Linked DNA regions of Elephas maximus indicus. The protein of the gene in region 3 binds, or shares a complex with, the protein of the main gene of each other region. Links are inferred from orthologs where the notes say so. Each region holds a gene or a part of one and is shown on either strand. Other genes may lie near its edges.

What was found.
Region 1: the proteins of PTPN22 (region 3) and PSTPIP1 are in contact, whole or in part, in a crystal structure (PDB 7AAM), measured with the Homo sapiens proteins. The link is inferred for Elephas maximus indicus from reciprocal best matches to the Homo sapiens genes PTPN22 and PSTPIP1. Residues at the interface, in NP_057051.4 of Homo sapiens: Ser793, Lys794, Pro795, Gly797, Pro798, Arg799, Asn800, Pro801, Pro802, Trp805, Asn806; in NP_003969.2 of Homo sapiens: Thr225, Arg228, Asn229, Trp232, Asn236, Ser239, Met240, Cys242, Val243, Asp246.
Region 2: the proteins of PTPN22 (region 3) and CSK are in contact, whole or in part, in an NMR structure (PDB 1JEG), measured with the Mus musculus proteins. The link is inferred for Elephas maximus indicus from reciprocal best matches to the Homo sapiens genes PTPN22 and CSK. Residues at the interface, in NP_033005.1 of Mus musculus: Pro614, Pro615, Leu616, Pro617, Glu618, Arg619, Thr620, Glu622, Ser623, Phe624, Ile625, Val626, Val627; in NP_001291690.1 of Mus musculus: Phe20, Thr23, Gln26, Ala40, Val41, Thr42, Lys43, Asp44, Asn46, Trp47, Ile59, Pro61, Asn63, Tyr64.

The regions. Positions count from the first base shown.
Region 1 is NC_064831.1:66,556,582-66,564,550, reverse strand, and holds the start of PSTPIP1 (proline-serine-threonine phosphatase-interacting protein 1), read left to right. Parts: upstream 1-4,912; 5' UTR 4,913-5,369; coding exon 5,370-5,405; intron 5,406-7,969. UniProt on the Homo sapiens protein: Involved in regulation of the actin cytoskeleton. May regulate WAS actin-bundling activity. Bridges the interaction between ABL1 and PTPN18 leading to ABL1 dephosphorylation.
Region 2 is NC_064831.1:64,865,956-64,873,782, reverse strand, and holds the start of CSK (tyrosine-protein kinase CSK), read right to left. Parts: upstream 3,058-7,827; 5' UTR 2,881-3,057; intron 630-2,880; exon of another isoform or gene 1-629. UniProt on the Homo sapiens protein: Non-receptor tyrosine-protein kinase that plays an important role in the regulation of cell growth, differentiation, migration and immune response.
Region 3 is NC_064821.1:166,860,060-166,868,093, forward strand, and holds the start of PTPN22 (tyrosine-protein phosphatase non-receptor type 22), read left to right. Parts: upstream 1-5,022; 5' UTR 5,023-5,111; coding exon 5,112-5,198; intron 5,199-8,034. UniProt on the Homo sapiens protein: Acts as a negative regulator of T-cell receptor (TCR) signaling by direct dephosphorylation of the Src family kinases LCK and FYN, ITAMs of the TCRz/CD3 complex, as well as ZAP70, VAV, VCP and other key signaling molecules.

The DNA of each region.
Region 1 (7,969 bases), on a different chromosome or scaffold from region 3:
CTGGTTTTATGTTTCTTATAGTCAAAGGCATCCTCAACTGATGCAAATTTCACAGTGAACTCAGAAGCGCTTGTGCCAAGGTTGGACTGTCATCCCAATAGCACCACCAATCTCAACAGCCTCCCTGGGCTCAGTTTTCCCATATACCTGGGGTGAGAGGTTCCACAGGTAGAACTAGAGAAAGGAAGAATGAAACCCTTTGCAACAGGGGTAAGGGTAAATCCTTTGCAAGAGGGTAAAAAGATAACTGTGCTGGTTAAGATCATGTGATTTGGTGTCAGGCAGACTTGGGTCCAAAACCCAGCTCTCCTGCTTACTGTCCATGAGGCCTTGAATGAGTTGCATAGACCCTTTTTTTTTAATTGTATTGTGCTTTAAGTGAAAGTTTACAGTGCAAATTAGTTTCTCATTCAAACATTTATACACAAATTGTTTTGTGACATTGGTTGCAATGTGTCAGCATTCTCCCCCTTTCCCTTTATACCCGGGTTCCCCATGCCCATTTGTCCAGTTTTCAAGCCCCTTCCTGCTTTCTTGCCTTCACTTTTGGGCAGGCATTCCCCATTTGGTCTCACACACTAAATTGAACTAAGAAACACTATCTAGTGCTGTTATAACAGAAATACCACAAGTGGGTGGCTTTAACAAAGACAAATTTATTCTCTCACAGTCTAAAAAAACACTATCTAGTGCTGTTATAACAGAAATACCACAAGTGGGTGTCTTTAACAAAGACAAATTTATTCTCTCACAGTCTAGGAGGCTAAAAATTCGAGTTCAGGGTGCCAGCTCCAGGGAATGGCCTTCTCTTTCTGTGGGGGAAGGTCCTTGTCATCCATCTTCTCTGGTCAAGGAGCTTCTCAGTGCAGGAACCCTGGGTCCAAAATACGCACTTTGCTCCTGGCACTACTTTCTTGGTGGTATCAGGTCCCCATGTCTCTCTCCTCGCTTCTCTCTTTTATACCTCAAAAGAGATTGGCTTAAGATACAACGTAATCTTGTAGATTGAGTACTGCCTCATTAACATCGTAGAGGTGGGATTTACAACACACAGGAAAATCACATCAGATGACAAAACAGTGGACAATCACACAATACTGGGAATCATGGCCTAGTCAAGCTGACACAATTTTGGGGGGACACAATTCAATCCGTAACACTTGCGTCTTTGGTTTTCTTCATTCTCCTTTGCTCCAAATGGGATGGGATCAATGGATGTATCTTAGATGGTCGCTCACAAGTTTTTAAGACCCCAGATGCTACTCACCAAAGTAGGATGTAGAGCATTTTCTTTATGAACTATGTTATGTCAATTGATCCAGATATCCCCTGAGACCGTGGCCCCCGGCCCTCAGCCCCAGTAACTCAGTCTCTCAATGTGTTTGGATGTGTCTAGGGAGCTTCTAGGACTTTGCCTTAGTCAAGCTGTATTGACTTTCCCTATATTGTGTATTGTCTTTCCCTTTATCAAAGTTGACTCTTGTCTACTATCTAGTTAGCAATTTCCCCTCCCTACCCTTTCTCTCCCTCGTAACCATCAAAGTTTGTTTTTTTCTGCGTGTAAACCTTTCTTTGAGTTTTATAATAGTGGTCTCATACACTATTTGTCCTTTTGTGATTTACTTATTTCACTCAACATAATGCCCTCCAGATTCATCCACGTTATGAAATGTTTTGCAGATTCATCACTGTTCTTTATCGTTGCATAGTATTCTATTGTATATGCACCATAGTTTGTTTATCCATTCAACTGTTGAAGGACACTTAGGTTGTTTCCATTTTTTTGCTATTGTGAATAATGTTGCAATGAACATGGGGGTGTGCATATGTCTAATTGTGTGATGGCTCTTATTTCTTTAGGATATATTCCTAGTAATGGGATTGCTGGATCATACGGTATTTCTATTTCTAACTTTTTAAGGAGGCACCATATTGTTTTCCATAGTGGTTATATCATTTTACATTCCCACTAGCAGTGCATAAGAGTTCCACATAGACTCTTTAATGACTAGTTTTCTCACCTGTAAAATGAGAATAATAATAGTATGTATCCCATAGAAGCGGGTGAGGGTGTGTGAAAAGCTTAATGATGCACTCCAAAGCTGGAATTAGCTGTTCTAGTCACAAAGCCTTGGGACCAGCAGAAGGGTGTGGGGGGAGGGAAGGAGGAAGACTTCCTTTTAGCAGAGAACTTTGGAGTTCCTCCCATCACTTCCTTCCCCAATTTCTCCAGCCCACAGCCAGCATGGCCATCTGCCCAGGGCTGCCCTGGGTGGACCAGAGCAATTGGGAAAGGAAGACCTCCTGTGTGGTAGACTTGAGCTGGGCTTGAGAGAGGGGAGAACTTGTCCAGGTAAAGAAGTTCAAGGAAGGCATGCCAGAAGGGAGGCACAAAAAATGCAGCAACATTTTGGAGGTAGGAGTGGGAAGGGGGTTTTGGTGAGAGGGAGGAAGCCTGTTTGGAGTAGAAATTTGTCATAAAAGGTTAAGGGAGCAACACCTGGAGAGTCATGGAAGGGAGCCTGGTAGTCAAGTTTTCTGCCAATAAGAGGGTACAAAAGGGCTCTAGTCTGCTTCCAGAACTAGAGACATCACCCCATTTGACAGATGGAAACACTGAGCCCAGGGATGCTGAGTCAGTGGCTTCACAGAGTTAGTGTCACCCAGTGCAGTAACTCATGGTGTAATACCCACCCCCACCGCCATGGATTTCTTCCTGTGCCAGACCATACAAAATCCCTAGTAACGTTTTTTGTACTAATGCTCCTAGTAAATCATAATTCTTGTATATCACTCCTTTTCCTTTAATTACTACTTCATTTTCAAAAAAAGTTACGATACAGGTTTACAGATGCTAATTACAACAATGTTGTAGCTAAAACACCAGGAAATTTGGCCAAATCAGCAACTAGAAAAATACCAGCAGCAATGAAAAAACCAGCACGTGCTTGTAGCATGTGCAGATGAAACCATGTGACTCGAAGGATCATTGTAATTGGGTAATAATGACCGCTCTGACCAAAAGACATTAGAAGGTTCAAAAAGTGAATAATTAGCATAGAGCTTTAGCCTTGTAGGTATATTGATACATGTAAGCTGGGCTTACAAAAAATGTTTTTGCTGTTATAGCTAACTACAGGGATATTGTTATAAAAAATAACAAATTTCTGTTGAGACGCAGCACAAAAATTTTATAAACAGTTATTTTGGTGTCACCTCCTCTGACAGTGTCACTGGGTGTGGTCCATGCCACCTGGGCCCCCCTAATGTTGCCACTGGGCTGAGTCAGTGATGTTAGAGGTGGTGAAACCACTGGATTGAGAAATACAGCCATAGTATATAGCCTTGGGGGTTTAAGGTGATATTTTGCCCCATTAGCTGTCTTCAGCTGAAAGCAACAGAAAACCTGACTTGAGGAGCCTTCACCGCTAAAGACTTTCTTTCATTAGCTCAAACCAGAAGGAGTCTGGAGGTGGGGCGGCGGGGGGCTTCTAGGAGCAGTGCAGCAGCGCCAGCCCCCCTGCTCTGCAATTCTCCCCCACGTCTTCTCTCTCTCTCTTTGAATTAAAATTACTTATGTTCAGAAAAACACTTGAGGAATCATGTGTTCTCTCCCCGGTGGCTGTTTCAGAAGCCTGGGTGGGCCCATCTCCCTAAACCCCAGGCACGCATAACTGGCACTTGGGAGCTTGGCGAGCCTGCTTCTGCTTCAGCTCTCATCTATCTTATCATTCCCGCCAATTGTAAGGGAGATACCAGCAAGGTAGTGATTTGTGGATGGTCCCTGACTCATCCCTTTTTGCCAGGCTGCCCTGCTGGCATCTTCTGCTGAGTGGGCACCTGGCTCCTCAGGGCTCTAGCCCAGGGCTCTTTCCAAGGTGGTACCAGACAGTGCCTCCAACACCTGCCCAACCGAACCAGAAATTCCACAAGTGTTCTCAATGCCATCCCCTTTCCAAAGGCTGGGGGTGGCAGATGGGGAAACTGAGACTCAGAGAGTTGGAGGGTTTATTGAAGTCCCTCAGCCACTGAAGTGTGTAGTGCCCAAGCCAAACAAAACCCGGAGCCTCAACCTCAGTTTTCAAACTCCCGCCTCCGTCTCTCTCTCAGTTCAACCATGTTCACGAAGCCTTAAGGCTCCACCTCCAGAGTGGGCCTCCCTGGCCCACAGTGTCTAATCTGGAGACTTGGGGGCAGTGCCTGTGAGGTCGCAGGCTGTTCTTCCTTGGCTAGATGCCCACTCATCCCCACCTCTATGTTCCTACAGCCCCCCAGAGTACAGCTGTGTCTGCCCTGAGAATGTGAGCTCCTTGAGGGCAGGACCTGGTCTGGGGCACAGAGCAAAGTTTGATGAAGGATAGATGTCCAGGCCTAGATGACACCCTCCTGAATAGATTCCTGCTGAGGAGTAAAGAGTCTAGCATTTTTGTGCTGGCCTGGCAGGGAGTGGATCTGGCTGGACTGGTGGGAGACAGAACCTGAAGTTCCTGGGCTCTTCTTGCCCACGCCTTTAGTGGGCCCCAAGCTCTAAAAGGAGTCCTGGTGGAGCAATGGTTAAGCACTCAGCTGCTAACCAAAAGATTCGCAGTTTGAATTCACCCAGAGGCTCCTCGGGAGAAAGACCTGGCAATCTGCCCCTGTAAAGATTAGAAAACCCTCTGGGGCAGCTCTACTCTGTCACTTGGGTTTACTATGAGTTAAAAATTGATTCAATGGCACCTAACAACAACAACAAGCTCCCTAAATGTATGGCTTCTGAGAATGTCCCTGCCCCTTCTCAGGTTGAGACACCCCAGCAGGGGGCCGCCACTAAAGGGCAAGCAGAGGCAAGCAGGGAGAGTGGCAGGTGGCAGGCAGGGCTGCATAGAAGAGCACAGCGGCTCCACTTCCTGTGAATGAAGGCCCTAGTGCCTGCCCCAGGGGAGGTTGCACAAACCTTCCTGTGCAGGCCTCAGGCTGCCTGCCTCCCTGGCCTGAGTCCCAGCCTGCCTCTCTCAAGAGCCGCTGCCTCCTGCCTGGGGCTGGCATCTCCTCTCCCTGCCCTGGAACTGGGCTGTGTTCTCTATCACCCGCTGGGCTGGAGAGGGGCTGGGCCGGACACCGGGGCCCGCCCTCTCATCACTGGGCATTGCTCCTTCCTCATTTTGCTGCGGATTCTAGCCCCAAACAAAACAGGTTGAGCCCTTTCCCTCCCTTCAGCAGTTCTGGCTTGCAGCTGCCTTCTGAGCTGCTGCAGACGGTGACAGCCGGGGAGAGGGGCTTGGGCCAGCCCTGCCGACACTGGGCACTGGACAGTGCTCCTTGCTCTTGGCCCTCAGACGGCCCTGCCTGGGGCAGGAGAGCTTGATTTGCCACAGTAGAGCCCAAGGATGATGCCCCAGCTGCACTTCAGAGATGCCTTTTGGGTGAGTGAAGGCTGGGGGCGCGGGGGAGGGCATTGAGAGAGTGGAATAGGCTCTGGGGAAGCTGAAATTTTCCATGGAAGTTGGAGGGGGATATAGCTCCCAGATGCAGGCTGTCTCATAAAAGTAGTGATTGATATACAACTTTGTCATGGAGGTGGTCTAGGCTACTTTCCCTTCTGAGCTGGAAGGCGAAGGGGGTACTGACTTCCCTGCAACTTCACCACCATGGGCAAGGGATGTCCTCTGCACTTCCAGGACTGGTTTTTCCTCTGAGAGACCCCTCCCCCACAGCAGGACCTTTTTAGGAGAGTCTAGCATGCGTTTTTTTTTTTTTTAGCATGCAGGTGGGGGCTTGAGGAGGCCATGTGGGGTGGAGGAGAGGGTGTCAGGTTCGGGCACCAGAAAAACTTGGTTCATACCTTGGCTCTGCAATTGTAGGTGTCTGAGCCCCACCTTCCCCATCTATACAGTGAAGATTGAAAAAAAAAAATTTTTTTTTTTTTTTTTAGTGAAGATAGATAATAATAATAAATATATCAAATGAACGGGAGGATTAAACAAGGTGAACTAATGTAATAATGCCCCCAGAATGTTGCTGGCACACCAAATGGTAATTCTCCTTCCCTCACCCAACACCTTTTCGTTTGGAGACCTTGGGGGTCTTTCAAGGTAGCAGGATGGGCTGGGCAATTCCTTGCTCGCAGTATTAAATCCAGCACAGGCCTGAAGAGTCCTCCTTCCCTCCCTGGGAAATAGCTGGCTGGCTCATGGAGGTAAAATGGCTTGGCCCAGGTCACAGGGCTAGTAAGCCCAGTTTGGATCACAGATCCCCTCAGCTTTTTTCCAGCTGTCCTTTAACCATCCCCTCTGCTCCTTAAGCCTGGCTGTCCCCAGGGTGCTCCTTCCAACCCTGCAGAGGGCTCTCTGGTCTTGTTGTGTTCAGCAGGCTCAGCCCCAGCCAACAGCCTGGCCCTCCCCAGGTCCTTTCTTGGGGCCAGGAGCCAGAGAGATGAGAGCTAATAATGAGCCAGGCCTGCCTTCCTTCTCTTTTGGACCACACTCTGCTCAGGGCCGGTGGCCATTGTGTAAGTGGCCTGATCCCACCTTCGTTAACTGCACAGTGGGCAAAAGCTTAGGCTGAGGAGGGCACTCTGCCCCTCTCGGGGCCTCTGTTGCCCCTTCTTCACAAAGAGGGGCTGGGACCAGCCCAGAGGAGCTGGTTGGGCTCATTTTGAACACCAGGGTGTTCTCTGCTGGACTGGCAGCTGGAGCCCCAAGTTGGGGGCTGGGGGTGGGGGCAGAGAGTCACCACGTCATTGCCCTGACTTGGAGTCTAAAGTTAGGGGAAGGGGTAGAGCCTGGAAATGCAGGCCGCCAGCCCAGGCCAGGCTAGGAGACCCTCACTGTTCTGTCCCTGCCCAGAGACCCTGGGCTCATCTTCCCTGGGATAGAACTGAGGCAAGGAGCAGCCCCCATGACAGGATCTGGGTGGGAGGAAGGAGGGGGAGGGGACTTAAAGAAACAGGGTGTGGCAGCAGCAGAAGCAAAAGCAGCAGCAGTGGCGAGAACCCAGCCCATCAGCGGTGGGTTCCTCCTGAGCAGTGGCATCCCATCCATGCTGAGTGCTTACCCCATGTCCGAGTGGCTGTGTACCTCGTGGCCTCCAGGTACCTCTCTCCTCCATGGCTGCTCCCTGGGCTGGGTGAGGCTGAAGCTTTCCCAGGGAAGGCCAGACGGAGAAGGGGAGAGAAGAGGCCAGCAAGAGCCTCTCAGATTCAGCCTGGGCAGACGCCCCAAAGTCACTGTCAGTATCACTTGCCCCAAGAGCTCTGAATTCTAACAGCCCTGGTGATGTTCAGCCCAGCCCAGCCATGACGACAACTAACATTCACTGAGCACCAACGATGTGTCAGGCGCTGTTCTCAGGCCTGTGTATGTATTAATTCATCTAACCTGCACGGCCAGGCAGTGGTGCTTTAGCAGTAGGATTCTCACCTTCCATTGGGAGACCGGGGTTCAAATCCTGGCCAATGAACCTCAAGTACAATGAACCGTCTGTCAGTGGAGCCTTGTGTGCTGCTATGATGCTGAACAGGTTTCAGAGGAGCTTCCAAACTAAGTCCAAACTAAGATGAACTAGGAAGAAAGGCCTGGCAAGCTACTTCCAAAAATAAGCCAATGAAAGCCCTATTGATCACAACTATCTGGTCTGAAACCAGGGGATAGATTACCCAATAAGCAAGGTACACACAGGCTTACTTGTGTTTACTTACTAATCTCCAGTGCACAATTTCACATAGGCTTCACCACAGCAAAGATCTGGTGAAAAAGAGGTGAAATTGTGCACTACAGATTGGCGAGTAAGCACAAGCAAGCCCGTGCATACCTTGTTTGTTGGGTAATCTGTCCCTTGGTAATTATGGGGCTGTTGAAGGACTGGACAGTGTTTCGTTCCATAGTGCATTGGGTTGCCATGAGTCAAGGGCTGACTCTATGGGAGCTAAAAACAATCCTCACAGCAACCCAGGAAGTAGATGCTATTGTCATCCCTGTTGTTCAGATGA
Region 2 (7,827 bases), on a different chromosome or scaffold from region 3:
TATTCTTACAAAGGGATACTAGAGGCCAGGGGCTGTGCCAGGTACTTTCTAGTACCTGGTTAATTAGCTCACTCTCCCTCTGAAGCAAATATCACCATCCCTCATACATATAAAAGAATTCCAGCTCAGAGGCCAGTGACTTGCCCAAGGTCTCTCCTCCCTGGACTAAATGGAATGCTGGGCCTGGACACCATGTCTACTTGCCCACTCTCTCCAATACCCCTGGCTGCTTTTGGGACCTGCAGTAACAACTACCTCAACAGCGACAGATGGAAACAACACACAAGCTCAGCAACAGGGTTTGGCTGAAGTTGCTGAGGCAGAACTATCTGGAATATTCTGTAGGTTTTTAGAGGGAAAGTCAGACGGGGGAACAACATGAGAATGTGTCTATGGGCACAGCATTAAATGAAAACTGGTGTTAGGGCACACACCAGAGGAAGGAATAGAGTCAGGAAGAGACTGGCAGGAAACTTCAAAATGCTAGCAGTCACCCCGTCAGGTGAAGAAAGAGGGAATGATTTTTGTTTTCTAAACTTTCTGTAGTGCTATTTTGTCACTTTCTCACTTCAGGATATTAGTCCATGAGTAGTTTTCTTGTAGTGAACCTGCTTCCCTGGGACCTGCCTGCCCTCCCGCTCTGGCCTTGGTGTTTTGGACCTCGACAAATGACGCCTGCCTCTTCTGCAGTGGGACAGCCTCTGGGACGCAGAACAGCCCCCAGACAAGAAAGGAGATGACCAGTGCTCGCTCCCTACCTCCTCTTTCCCAGGCCAAATACTCTGTTCTTCGGGAACTGGGTGTCAAGCCTTCAAAATCCCTCAAAAGATGGAACCCAGAACTGGATCCAGGCCGTCCTTCCAATCAGGACACGCTGACAGGTCAGGCCACCTGGCGACTTTTGGGGCAACCACGTCACTGTGGGATCTCAGGCCTCAGCCCCTGCCGGAGCTAGTTTGGAGAAAGCTAGAACTCTGCCCCTTCCCCAACACTTGCTGTGGGACACTGTGGTGGCTCAGCCTCTCTGGGCCCAGTGCCCTTTGCAGTGGTGCTGGAGGACATCTTTCTTGTCCTCAACCCAATGCAGAGACAACAGCAGCCACTTCAGAGCGGGCAGAAGGCACCAAGTTCACCTAGAAAAAACACTTCCCTGCACACATGCTAGCCTAAAGCTAGATTCCTTTCCACAAAGGCCTTGGGTCCCTGGGCCTCATCCTCACAGCCCAGAGTAGGTAAAAAAGCGCCCAACCACATCCAGCCCCAGCCCCAGCCCCTCAGGCTGGAAAAGGAAGTCGGGTAAGCGGAGCCTCACAGGCCCAGGACAGCTGGGGCCTCTCTACTGAGCACATCAGGGCAACAGGAAAAAACTCTAAACCAAGGGCAGGGGTCTTGAGCAGGACAAAACTGTCAGCAGTCCTAAGGAGGCCCAGACACAGCTCAGCATCTTCCAGGGGACAACCCACCTCCCTCTCGGAGCAAGAGGATCAGTCCACACTCCTAACCTCACTCTCGTTGCCTCTGCCTTGTGCCTGCTGCAGATACACCACGGCAGACACTGGAACCCCCAGGGTGTGGGGGGAGCTTGGAACAGACCCTGCAGGTGTCCCTACCCTGACAATGCTCCCATGCCAAGGGTGTAGGGCACTGCCAGTGGTCACAGGGCTCCCACATTCTCCATCCTGGTCCCATTCATATTCTGAACTTGAACAAGCTCCTGTGCCAGCTGGGCTGAGGAGGAAGGGGGAGAGGGAGAGCTGGGTCTGGACTAACCACTAGGCTGCTGCAGTTCAGGGCTAGGGGCTAGAATCCAGGCATTCTCGCCTTGCCACACAGGTGCCCACCTGCATCCCCTGCATCCCACCAGTGGGACCCAGCCTCAGACACCAAGGGGAAATCCCATGGGCAGTGCTGATGGTGCCTGAGCCCAGACCCAGGCAGAACTGGGGCCGGAAGCCCTCTCCCTTCTCTTGGGCCTCTGCCAGGGAGCACATGCTCACCCCACATGGTCCCTCCTGGGCCAGGGTGGGGACCTGCATCCCTGATGCATGAAGGCATCTGCCTGACTCCCCTCCAACCCCAGCAGCCCAGCTCCACAGAACAGTGGATGAGACGACAGCTGGCCTAACTCTTCAAGAGTCCTGGGGGAGCAACCTCCCCCTTTGAGCCTCAGTTCCCTGGTCTACAAAATGGGCGGGGAACTGAACCCCCAGTTAAGCTCCAAAGATCTGGTGGCTGGACACGCCCCTTCCTGACACCTGGCCTGGGCCCTGCAGAGAATGGGCTGACCAGGCTGTCAGGAGGTAGGGGCATGGTGTCACCTTCATCCAGGAGTGAGGCCTGCCCAGTTTCCCCACCCAAGGGTCAGAGGTCCCTTGGCTTAGACACAGTCATCTGGGAGGCTGAGAGAAACAGGTTCAGTCCCAGGACCTGGGCCTCTGGCAGGGCTCAGGGGAGCTAGCAGGGCCTCAGTGAGGGAAAGGTCAGACCCAGACAGGCCAAGACACTTGCAGGGAGGTCTGGGCAGGGAAGGGGCACTTCCAGAAATGCAGCCCATTCTCCAGGCCCTGGACCACGTCGGCCCTCTCCCTCCAGGCTCCAGCCACCCCTCACTCTTGAGCTTCACACAAGGGGACCTCAGGGTGCCCTGGGGCAAGTCTGCGGGGCTTGCTGAGCAGTGCCTCCTTCGAGTATTCCCCTCCTAATCCGGTTCTGACAGTGACTCCCGGGAGAGTTCGAACTCGGGAAGGAGGGAGTAAGGCAGTGGGGGATGGGAGTGGTCACGACGGCGGTGTAAAGAGAAGCAGGACGTGCGACCTCCCTCCTCCTCCTTCCTCTGGGGGACACAGACGCTGGCCTTCTCCTGGGCTGCAGGGCACTCACCTCTCTCGGGGCACTGAAGTCCGAGCCACCTCGCCGCGGGCGGCATCAGCGGCCTGCGGGACGGTCCATGCGGCCAGAGGGGAGGGAAGGGGCGCAGGGACCCCCGGGGGGTGCGATGCAAAGAAGTATAGGTGCGGAAAGAGGGGGAGGAGGGACGGCCACACCGAGGCAGGGGGATGGCCGCGCGGCCCGGGGCGGAGAGGGAAGAAAGGCGGGGGAAGGGGGGCGGGAGGGAGTCGGGGGGAGGAAACAATGTAGCCGGCGCGGCCCCAGCAGAGTTCCGCTTCCGAACGCCGCCGCCACGGCTCGGTTTTGGAACGTCGCGCCCGCTGCCGGGGGCCGTCCCGGACACTCGATCGGGGGCCGCGGGGGCTGCCCGCGCGCGCTCCACGCCCCGGAGCCTCAGGCGGCCACAGGCTGGCTAGGCGGGAGGGACGGCTGACCAGGGGACGGCCCCGACGGTGGCGCGGCCGGGAGATCGGCCCGCTCGGGCTCCACCCCAGCAGGACCCCAGGGCAGGGCGCGGGGTGGGGCGGGAGCGGGAGGGCGGCGACGGTCTCGGTGGCGGCGCCCAAGCTCGGCTCGCCCAGGGCTCCGCTGGGAGGAAGCTCGCAGGCCTGGCGAGAGGAAGCGCGGCCCGGATCCTCCGCCCGCGGCAGCGCGCCTGCGCGAGGGGGCCTGCCCGGTGCGCGGCGGGGCGTGGGCTGGCGAGGCGGCGCCCCCTATCGGGCGCCGGGGGCACTGCGGGGGGTGTGTCTGCGCCCACGCCCTGCCCCCACCTGCCTGTCTGCGTTGGAGGCGCCTAAAGGCCCCTCCCAGAGGGCCGACCACCCGGCCTTGGAACAAGTTCTGAACCTTCTCCGGGCCTAGCTCCACCAGCGTAGAAGCGGTGGAGGCTGGGCCTGGATCCTTCTGGAGTCAGCCCGCGCAGAGTGGGCCTCATTCGCAGCAGCAAGCATTCGTTCACACGTTCACGAACGCTTCCTGGCGCCAACAACCTGCCAGGCCATTTTCAGGGGTCTAGTAAGACCCCTTCACTGCTGTCAAGGATGGAGAGACTGACAGGCCAAAAGACAATAGCAAAGAACTAATTGATAAAAGTGGGGAGGTGATGTACAAGGTCCACAGGAAGCAGACAAGAAGGGAGGGCTAATGGGGGACTTCACTGAGCCTAGGACGCCAGGCAGAGAGAACGGTGTGGACAAAGGCAGGGAGAGGTGGGAGAGTGGTGGCTTCTGGGAAATATAAATAGCTCCGTATGGCTGCAGCTTGCAGTGTGGGTTAAAGGCGGTAGTGGGAGACTAGGTCTTGGGGCAGCAGGGGCAAGAGAGATTACAGAGAGTCTTGTGGGACTTTCTGAGACTTTATTTTCAGCCTGGAGCAATGAGGAAGTTGTTAGTAGCTGTGTGACCTTAGGCAAGCTGCTTAAAGTCTCTGTGATTTCAGTTTCCCCGTTTCATCAAATGGGGAAAATAATAGCAGCAACTTCTTAGGGCTTTCTGGGGGAGGAAATGAGTTAATGCGTTTCAAGTGCTTAGTGTGCAGTTGCTGGAACATGGTGAGCCTTCAGTTAAGTGTTGGCTGTTATTATATATCACTGTTAATGAGAAGCAGGCAGGTGATCTGCTCAGAGCCACAGACCAGACAGCTTGTGCTGGGGTGAGAGGTGGTGGGGGGAGCGCAGCGATGGGGACACCAGAGATGCTAGTGTAGGTAGGAGGAGTCAGGGCACCCCTAGGGACTGGGCCATAAAGAAAGGGTCAGGCTTGGGTTGGCAGAGAAGAGGGGGCATTCCTGGGAGTAGGGGGAAGCGGTGAAGCTTGCTGGCAAATTCTTGGAATCTGAAATAAGTATGAAGGGGCAGAAAGAGTGTGAGGGACAGTAAAAGGTCCTTTGGGACAGAGAAATGGGGAGAACAGTATCTGCAGATTGCAAAGAGTCTTGAATGCCTGGAGTAGGAACGGTGTGTGCCCCTCAGATACACTACGGGTTGTCCCTCTGACCCACTGCATCCTGGGGCCAGCATCTCAGCAAGGGGCCGCCTCTATGGGGAGGAAAGCAGTAGAAACACCTTTGTGCTTTGAGGAGACATCCAGTTAGTCTGGCATAGTTGTGGTATAATGGAAAAAAGTATGAGTTTTGGGTTCAAATCTCAGGATTAAATCTTGGCTCAGCCACCTACTAGCCGTGTGACCTTGGACTAGTTACCTAAGGTCTCTGAGCTCAGTTTCCTCTTCTGTCAGACCAGGCTTAAAGTGTACCTCTCTCACATACCTCTCTTTGGAGAGATGGTGCAGATTCAGCAAGATAAAGGCCTGGGGATGGGAGGGTGGGGAGAGAGCTTAGCAGGTTGGTTTCCCTTTCTTTCCTTTGAGGTTGAGGTCTAGACGGAATGACAATGGGGGGCTGGTTGGGGTGGGTGGAGTTTCTCTCAGCCATGGACAGGAAAGCTCTTCCGCAGCTCTGCAAAAGTTTCTAGAAGGGAGAATTGAGATCTCCTTCCCCTCCTCTGGTTTAGCTACCAGGATGGGAAAGAAAGGACTGTTGGGATTTGTGGAAAATGCCCTGTTCCACACGGGCTTTGTCACTCACCCATCTCCATCCCCTGGCCCCAAACACACTTGACTCTTTTCCTTGCATGTGCTGTGGCCAAGAGTGTGGACTTTGGAGTCAAATAGACCTGCATTTGAATCCTGGCTCCAACTCTCCACAGCAGTGTGAACTAAAAATTTTAACCTCTCTGAACTCCAGGCATGGGGATAAAACCAGGAGCAAATCAGTCATGGCCTCGTCCCGCAGAGCTCCCTTTCTTTTAGTGGGAGAGTCAGACAATTAGCCTCCAACCTCGTTTCTCATCATTTATTCATTCAACAAAAATTTACTGAGCACCTACTAAGTGCTGGAACCCTGGTGGTACAGTGGTTAAGAGCTCAGCTGCTAACCAAAAGGTCGGCAGTTCGAATCCACCAACTGCTCCTTAGAAACCGTATTGGGCAGTTCTCCTGTGTCCTATAGGGTCACTCTGAGTCAGATTCAACTCTGGAGCAACAGGTTTACCAAGTGCTAGGCACTGTCCCAGATGCTGGAGATGGAGTGAACAAGACTTCCATGGTTCCTACCCTAGGGAATAAATAAATAAACAGGGTCATTTGGCCCTGTAGTATGAAGGAAGTGAGCATGTGAGGGACTATGGAGAGGTGAGGCTTTGAGCTCTGCTTTCAGACCAGGAAAGGATTGAGCCAGCCTTTTTTTTTGGGGGTGAGTGAAGGAGGGCGCTTCAGGCATAGGCAACCCAAACCCATTGTCATCGAGTTGATTCCAACTCATAGTGACCCTATGGGGTAGAGTAGAACTGTCCCATAAGGTTTCCTAGGCTGTGATCCTTATGGAAGCAAACTGCCACATCTTTCTCCCTTGGAGTGGCTAGTGGGTTAGATCTGCTGACCTTTCGGTTGGCAGCTGAGCAGACACTTAACCACTGTGCCACCGGGGCTCCTGGCAAAGGTTAAAGACCTGAGCTAGGAAAGGGCCCTGGGGCTTGAAGGACAGCCAGAGGGTGGCCTCAGATAGCAGGGGAGGATGGAAGAGAGGAAGTAAGGAAGCCGACAGGGGCCAGATCCAGAGCCTGCACTCCAGAGATTTTTTTAGGTGAGTTTGGGTTTGATTACGTGAGCAGTGCAGGAAGCTGTTGAAGGACTTTAAGCAGGGGGGTGACATAATCGGAAGCATTTTTTTTTAATTTGCATTATTTCTTAGAGATTAGATCAAATTAAAACAAAATTATTTTATTATTTTTCTTGTTGAAAATAAAAAAAATTTTTTTTTTTTTGAAAATACACACGGTAAAAATATACCAATTCTACTTACCAGGAAGAAAAAATGAAGTCTTGATATATGCTGCAATATGGATGGAGCTGGAAGACATTATGCTGAGTGAAATAAGTCAATCACAAATGACAAATATTCTATGGCCTCACTTACACAAAAAGACAAGAAAACGCAAATGTATAGAGAACAAAGTTTATTAGTGGTTACCATGGGCAGAAGGGAGGTGAAATGGGGGTCAATAGTGATGAAAAAATCACGTTGATTAAGGGTAGGGGTGCAGAGCTGACTATTATAATTGTTGTCATTAAGTTGTACACCTACAAAAAGCTGAATTGGCAAAATTTGTGTGATAGATTTATTTACAACGATGACCCAAAAATAAATAAATAAATACATAAATAAGAGTAGCTGCTGAGGCTGCTTAAGTACAACCAAAAACCTCATGGGATTTGGTTCCTTGGTTTGAAGGTTTAGTGTCACGGTTTCATGGGATATCCCAGTTAATTGGCCTAATGTGTTTAGTGCTTCTGTTCTACCTCCTAGTTTGTTGCATGGTGCCATAGGGTCTTAAAAGCTTGCAGATGGCCATCCAAGGCACAACAATTGGTTTCTATTCACCTGGAACAGCAGAGGAAAAAGGGAGTCAGGAATAGAAGGAGGATATGGAATGTGTGGCTATTTGCCTCCATGAACAACTGCCTCCTTTGCCATGAGACCAGAAGAACTAGATGGTGCCCAGCTACCATTAGTGCACATTTTGATCAAAGATTCCACAGAAGAATCCTGATCAAAAGGGGGAAAATACAGAACAGAATTTCAAAGTCTCATGGACTCCAGACTTCCTGGAGCCATGAAGGTTGGATGAACCCCTGAAACTATTGCCCTGAGATAATCTTCAAACTTTATACCGAAAATATCCCCTGAAGTCTTCTTAAAGCCAAAAAATAACCCAAACCAAACCTGCTGTTGTCAAGTCGATTCCGACTCATAACGACCCTATAGGACAGAATAGAACTGCCCCATAGAGTACCCAAGGCTGAAATCTTTACGGATTTCTCCTATAGAGTAGCTGGTGAGTTTGAACTGCTGACCTTTCGTTTAGCAGGTGAGCGCTTTAAC
Region 3 (8,034 bases):
TATGAAAATATGAGCAAATCAAACAAGCTTCATTAGAGATATTTTATTATTCTGTGTTAGTTTATCAAAGGAGAAACACTGGCCAATTCTGGAGATAAAGAATGTCATTTCTCTCTGGCCATTACAGCCCTCTGGGGCTGGACCCTGCACCTTAGTCACAGCACCATACCTTGGTTTACTCCTTTTACAATAATAGCCTTGCTGCTTGGGCAGAAGCACTCAGGGAAGTACTCTTTGCCAGGTTCCTGGGTCTCCCTGCAGGTAAGATCCATCTGCTTCTAGCACAGTGGAAGTACCTAGCCAGAGACTAGAAGCATAGACTGTGCCAGGCAAGAGATCTGAAATAATTAATGTAGTGAGTTACCGAGTCAGTGAATCTCTCACCAAAGCCTAGCCATATTATGTAATATATTTGATCACAACAGACTTTTTCTAAGTATCTTAGGGATGCTCAAGACCAGGTTAAACACTGTGGGTTATGCTAAAACATAGAAGATACTATCATTGCCTTTGATAAGCTTACAGGAGGCAATTTTGTCTACTTTGGAATGTATAATGGGTCTCATGATTACATAAACTTATGAGATGCAAGGAACATGTAAAAAAAAAATTAGAAAGCTTCCAGATCTGAATATAAAGATTTATATTGAAGGGATTCAGAATAAGAGAAGGTCATGGTGAAATTGTTATAAGAGGATTTCTGAAGAAAGGGGTAACCGGCCTTTATGAAAGAAGGTTATTTATCTTGATGAAAATTAAAGGAAACAGTGAGAAGTAGTAAAAGAAGTGGTAGTGTAATCAACAAGATTTGTGGGTGATGTGGTTGGAGAGGTTGGATCAGGACATTTGATTAGAAGTGGCTTGGTAACAAGTTGAGGTATCTGGGCTTGTTCCCATAGACTATGAGCAGGCATTTTGGTTTTTTAACATTAAAGTGGAGTTTTAAGAAGTTTCATCCAGCCCTGGTTACAAGGAGACACTGAAATGGGAGAGAGAGAGGTACGAGACCAACTAAGAGCTTATGGCTGCAGGAATCCAGATGCGAAAATGGGAATGGTTAACACAGAAATGGAAAAGGTAGGTTGAAACTAAAAGACATGGAGGAGAAAGAACCAATAGACTTTGGTGGCTGTTATAAATTGAATTGTATCCCCCCAAAATATGTGTTTTAAATCCTAACTCCTATACCTGTGGTTATAATGCCATATGGGAATGGAGTTTCTTTGTTGTATTAATGAGACAGTATTAGTGTAGAGTGTGTTGTAAGTCAATCTCTTTTGAGATATGAAAGAGCAGGTTAAGCAAGTGAGCAGAGATGGGAGAACATAGATGCCATGCCACATGAAGGTCACCAAGGAGTCAAGAAACGGAAGCTGAAAAGAAACAAAGACCTTCCCCTCAAGCCGACAGAGACAAAGAGGCTTCCCCTAGAGCCTCCTCGCCTGTGGGAAAATTAATTTCTGTGTGTTAAAGGTACCCACTTGTGGTATTTCTGTTATAGCAGCAGCAGGGCAGTGACCAACAGGATGTTTACAAAGGACAGAGTGTTAAAAAAAAAAAAAAAAAAAAAAGACTGAGTGTTTCACAGATAGTAGTACACACACACACACACACACAAAAATAGCCCACATCAAATCAATGACCCTGGGATGCAGAGAAAGGCAAGAGGAGTGAAAGTAAAGCTAAGACTGAGTAAATGGCTTCTCCAGGGTAACCCACGCCTCTTCACAGAGAGAAAGATGTTCTGAGAAATAATGTCTTTCCTACTGAGCAGTTTATCTTGCCCTAATAATATCCCCTGATAGTCTCTGATTAAAGTTTATGGTCCTCTAATTCCTGATCTCCATGATATTGATGTTTCTCCCTTCAACTGGCACATTCTCTTCTTGTTGGAGCAGGTGACAGTATGATCAACACCCGTTATCATCTTCCTTCTGAACAAACACCAGAGACGTGTGAGGCAGCTGTGAGTGGTCCCTAATTCTTCACTCACTCCGCTTCAGGCGCTTATTCAGAATTTTACTTCCTACTAGAGCTCACCTTTGATGGTTCTGATACGGTGTCTTTTACTGCATGGAATTGTTGTGTTCACTTAGGGTTTACGCCAGACTGGTTTAAATGTTTCATTGTAAATTCTTAAATTATGTATTTGCCAACCTTTGGTGCATGACTTGTTCCCCTCCCCAACTCTTGATTGTCCCACAAGATACAAATGAGTCAACACAATCTGTTCCTATTGCCCTCCAGTATCTGTAGAAGGAAGTGTGAAAGATTAAGCAGTAGGCTTAGATTTGTTCAAAATAAAACTGAAGTGTTTTTGTTTTCTCCTTCAGGTTGTTTTTTGCTCACTTGAGTGGTCTGCTCAGGAAATGGCCTTGCAGCTAAGTGAGTTTTTGAGGTTTAGTTATTTCACGATGTTTCTATGCCTTTTGGTTTTACAATGGAACAGACTCCTAAGTCTTGCTGCTTGCTTTTAAAAAAGAGATACAGTTCGGCAAAGACTCTATTTTCAGATCCTGAGCTTTGGGGTAAAAGAGCGATGGATGACATCTAAGCAATTTTTTCTTTCTTATCTCATATCTATCTCTACCTCTTCCCTCCCTAAGAAGAGACGATAACATTGAGATTGTTCTGAAATAGGGGCTTGAGGAAAATTGATTTAAATTTCATCTTATGAAGCATCTGTAATTATTTAAGTTCTGGTTTTGATGGAAGTGAGGACATTCTAAGGGGACACAGAGATTATGAAACTGTATCTTTTATTTGTTCAAAACAGAATCATTTCCTTCTAGGGTTATACTTTGCTACTTGGCAAACAAGAAAGTTAGTTTGGAATATTTTTATTTTTATCAATAATTAAGTCTATTTCTTTAGTTCTGAAATGCTTTATTAACTGGTTTAGTGTGTATGTTTTTTAACCATATTCTGGCTTGTTCACTATTGTATGCCCAGCCCCTAACACAGTGTTTAGAATTTAGTGGATACTCAATAAGAATGAATTAATAGTTTTTTTTTTTTGCATGTGTGTATGTTTTAATTTAAAAAGTGGTATAAGAAAGTTTTTAAAAATCACCCTTAATCCCAGCACACACATACAATTGATTTTTTGCAACTTTTAGTTTCTGTTTAACTATGTACAGTATATACTTTTACATGATTATAGTTATTGTGAGCTTTAAATTTTGTATTTTTTAAAATGTAAACCTTTCCCTCTATTTTATATGTTTAAAAATAACCAGATCAAACACTGCATTGTTTAGAGCAGAGAGATACTCTCCTTTAAGGCTAGTGGGGTTAATTTGAGAAATGTGATTCTATTCCAACAAATATTGCTGAAGCATTATGGTCCACTTTAATTTACATGGCTCAGTATTGAAATTCTTTATTTGGAATATTGGCTTCAAGTTGCCTATAACCACGCTATATCAATGACCTTTCTTTTTCCTATTGTAGGGCTCAATAAAATGAAAGCAGCTTAATAGCGTCCAGAATCAGGACTTCCTAAAGGAAATTTGAACAATGTTGCAAAACAGAAAGGATTGCTAATATTTACATAAAAAAAAAGAAAATACATAAGGAAGGCCTAATGATACATTTCCCAGTTTTCTTCAGGATGTTGTTAACATATTCTTTAGTGAACTTCTACACCCACACAGAAATGATGTGCTCGTTTCTGGGTGTTCTCACACCGATTTAGACACTCTTGGGGAGCCCTGGTAGTGCAGAGGTTAAGAGCTCAGGCTGCTCATCAAACGATGGACAGTTCAAATCCACCAGCTGCTCCTTGGAAACCCTGTGGGGCTGTTCTACTCTGTCCTATAGGGTCGCTATGAGTCCAAAGTCGACTTGACCGCACACAACGACAACAATGTTGTTAACATATTCTTTATTGAACTTCTACCCGAAACAGAGATGATGTGCTGATTTCTGGGTGCTCTCGCACTAATTTAGACACTCTTGGACAGATCTGTACCCACTGAAAAAAGAACTTAGGCAAACTGAGATGTAGAAGCCTTTTCTGGAACAACTTGCCTGTCAGACAGGGCTGAATTGCCACATGCACGGCATGACCTCCTGAAACAAAGGCCTTTTCCAAGACACTGGCTGCAGAGTAGAAATGTCTTCTCTAGAAACAGGCTTTCCACCGTGAAAGTTATATTGCTGCCAGCAAGGTGATTGTTTTTACTTTTTTTCTGTTCCCTCAGTTAAATCAGCCTTACTTTTTTTTTTACTAACGGGGGGATAGTATGCCATTGCTGGGTCAGTGCTCCTGCTGGGGGTCACTGTGCTCTGAATCCTTATTGGCCAATACTTTCAGTCTTTACATCCAAGTGAAGCTCATAAGGCTCCTGGGGGTGGGGGAGGTCCTGAAATCCACACTTCCCTTAATGGAGGTCAGCACTTCCCCAGTCCTGCGAGAGGTATAGACTGTCAGAAGCAGCTGACTTTGCTTCATTCCAAAGAGAGTTTGAGGTCTATTGGGGGAACTTAAGAATAAATACTCTGAAAAAAATGCCTTCTCTGATGAACAGAAGTTTGCCCCTGATCATATTGGCAAGAAACCTTTGGAGAAAGACTCCCCGCAAAAGTTGAGTGACTCTAAAAGTGTCCGTCTCCCTTTCTGGGCCTAACTGAAGCAGAGTTCATTTGGAAATGGAGGATATAGAAGGTGACACCAGGGCCTTTGTGCTCACTGGTGAGATGGAGAGAGGCAGAAACCATGAGACCTCTAACTCTGCCTTTTCTCTGTGAAGCAAGAAGAGAGGTGAATTTTGCTTAAATGTAGACTGGAACAGTCTCAGAGCTAAGCAGACCACACATTATTTTCTGGTTAGTCTCTTGTTTGTTAAAAACTTGAATTGTAACCAGGCTCCTTTGTTGAAAACGAAGGCGCTAGGGCCCTGCCGTGAGATGATGGTTTTGTTGTGTGACCACAGAGGCTGGTTACGCACTAATTTCCTCTAGGGCTTGTGATGAAGTCAGTAAACCACAGCCTTCAGCATACTCTGCTCAGGAGGCGGCAGTGGCTTCTCGGTGGTGTCTTAGCCATGACACACATTTGACATGCCCTCCTTCAACCTATTCATAGATTGTCTCTCTTGCTCTGCAGCATGGACCAAAGAGAAATTCTGCAGAAGTTCCTGCATGAGAACCAAGATAAGAAAATTAAGAAAGAGGAGTTTGCCAATGAATTTCTGGTGAGTCCTGTGTGTAACACTCTCATGGTAGTTACATAGGCTATTTAACTGACTCTGATGGTCCAACTCTCCTAGACCAAATTGCTCTTGGATTAAAATGAATATTAGACCTCAGACAGGCAGGAGGGAAGGAAGGCAACCTAAACGTTTGACTTCCCTCAGCAGTTTGTATGTATGTTAGGTGTTCTCTCCAAAATACTGACTTTGATATTTTGTTTGCTATTTCTTGACACTTGACTAGGAATCCTACAGAAGACATACACAGTTCCAGTGGAATAAATACTAATATAATTGAACATACAGAGTTCCCCAGGTATCTAAGTTGTGGTTAATGATTCAAATTACTAATTTTATTTTATATTAAGAGGAAAGAGACCAAGACTAGCTTTTCATGGCTCAATGAACATTTTTATCCTCCCCTTGGGATTCCATTTGGATGACATAATTTTTTTTTAAAAGCACCAAAATTACCTGCTGCCTCATCACTTTTCTTTTTGGTGAAGAAAAAAATATTAGAACATACGTTTTTGCAATAACAGGGTTTCCTTAACCTTCTTTTGCTTGGAGATGTGAAAGGCTAGGATGGAGAGTAGGAGCAAGTGAAGGGAATGGAGAGAAATATTGAGTACGAGGCAGCCTAGGGTCAACTGGATTTGATTACCCAGAGCAACACTGCATCTCCTTTGAGGGAACTGTGGTTATTGCTGCAGTGATCAGCTGGATAGGCCTTATTGATCCTATAACCAAGTACATCAGATCAAATAGGGTATCTGCGAGTACCTATCATGTATTTTGGAATACTTCCAGCTGGTGTTTCAGAGCTGTAATAACTTCAGACCTTCGATCTTCAGCTGTGAAGAAGAAGTGGAAAAAACAAGGGAACCGAAGCACAAAACCTAGAATTAAATCATGATTCTTTTGCCAACTAAATTCTAGACTATTTGACGTGTTCCTTAATCTTCCCGAGCCTTTGTTTCAAATTTATAAAATGAGGATACTAGTTTAGTCTTTCCTACCCTCACAGGATTGTTGTGAAGATTTAACAGCAATAATAATTAAATATGGCCATTTATTCAGTGGTGTTTATAGAGCACCTACTATGTACCAAGCACAGTGCTAGGCACTGAGGATACAGCAGTCAACAAAACAAACAAAACTCTTTGTCCTCATGGAGCTAGCTCTCTGGTCCACCACAGTAATGTAAAAACACTCTGTAAAGACTTGAGTGATTAGCTATTATGATTGAGTGGTTAATATTACGACAGAGACCAGTTCAACTCAGATAATATTGTGGTATCATGAAAAAAGTGCTCTCAGTGCCATGGTCCGGTCAGTCTGAAGCCTGTCTGAAGTCAGTCTGAAGGGAGGGAGGTAAGGAGGACATCCTAGCCTATGTGTCTCTTTAGAAACGTGCCTGCCTCTGGCCTATAACTCCTAAGCCAAATTCACCCAAAGCAGAGAGGTAAAAAGTGAGGGGCAACTTCTGTTTTATTCTGGTTGTGTTTTTTTTAAATAATGTAAACTATATCCCTGATATTTTACCTTTTCTTATCTCCAAAAACTAAACAGAATCCAATGCTGTTGAGTTGATTCTGACTCGAAGCGACCCTATAGGACAGAGTAGAACTGCCCCATAGCGTTTCCAAGGCTGTAAATCTTTATGGAAGAAGACTGCCACATCTTTTGCCTGTGGAATGGCTGGTGGGTTTGAACTGCCAACCTTTTGGCTAGCATCTGAGTGCTTTAACCACTGCACCACCAGGGCTCCTTTCTTATCTCGGGTCATTATAATCTCTCACCCAAATTATGACAGCTGCCTCGTAATTGGTTTCTCTGCCTCTGGTCTTGCCCCACTTCAATCAATTTTCCATTCAACACCCAAGTGATCTTTTAATAATACAAATCTGATCATTTTTTCCCTAGTTTGTCTTTTTTTTGTTTAAAATTGTGAAATGTACTAACACATTTAGAGAAGTACGTAAAAGAAGTACAGTATATTGACTAATTATAAAGCAACTACCACCCAAGACAATAAACAGAGCATTGCCAGACCCTAGAAGACCTCTGTATATCCCCTTCCCATCAGGTCCCTACCCCCACCCTGCCCTGCCCAAGGGGTAATCACTATCCTGACTTTTATATTAATCATTTCCTTGCTTTTCTAGGTCCTGATTTTAAGGACCTTGTTTGGGGGTGGTGATTAAGTGGAACCTCACTGTTCACTGACTCATGTCCTCCAGTGGAAAAAGAGTGTTGCTCTCAGCCCCACCTAAAGGTTAATCTGAGATACCAGAGGGTGTAGCTTTGGGGAAGTGAGGGAGTGTTGAATGGGGCCAGGTTGCTTGCTTGAGCAAGGTAAATACTGCCATTAAATTGGAGGGTTTTCCACCTGGTCACATCCCACATCCCACCTTAATCCCTTAGTATATTCTCCCAGAATTTGATGATTCTGGAGCTTGTGAACTGACTCTGTGACTCTGGGCTACTGCTAGTCTGAAGGATGGTGCCTTTGTGCAAATTACCAAATGGCTCCTCTGCTTCCAGGTGGTGGCCCTGTGACCTTTTCTACCCCCTGCCTTCAGGTCCGTGGCTTAGGTTTCAGTCCCCACTCTCCCCACACCTCTTGGCCGGGTATCTCTATTCAGAGCACAACATTCATAACTAGATGTGGCAGTCCTGTGTGACAGCTGAAGCCAATAGCATGCTTAGGTCTTCTTGTATCAAGACTAAATTTAATCTCTCTAGATGAAGCTGCCACAGAATGCCCCTGTAAGGTATTCATGCATTCATTCAAATACAGGAATACGATACAATGTTCCTGCTTTGTGGAGCATGT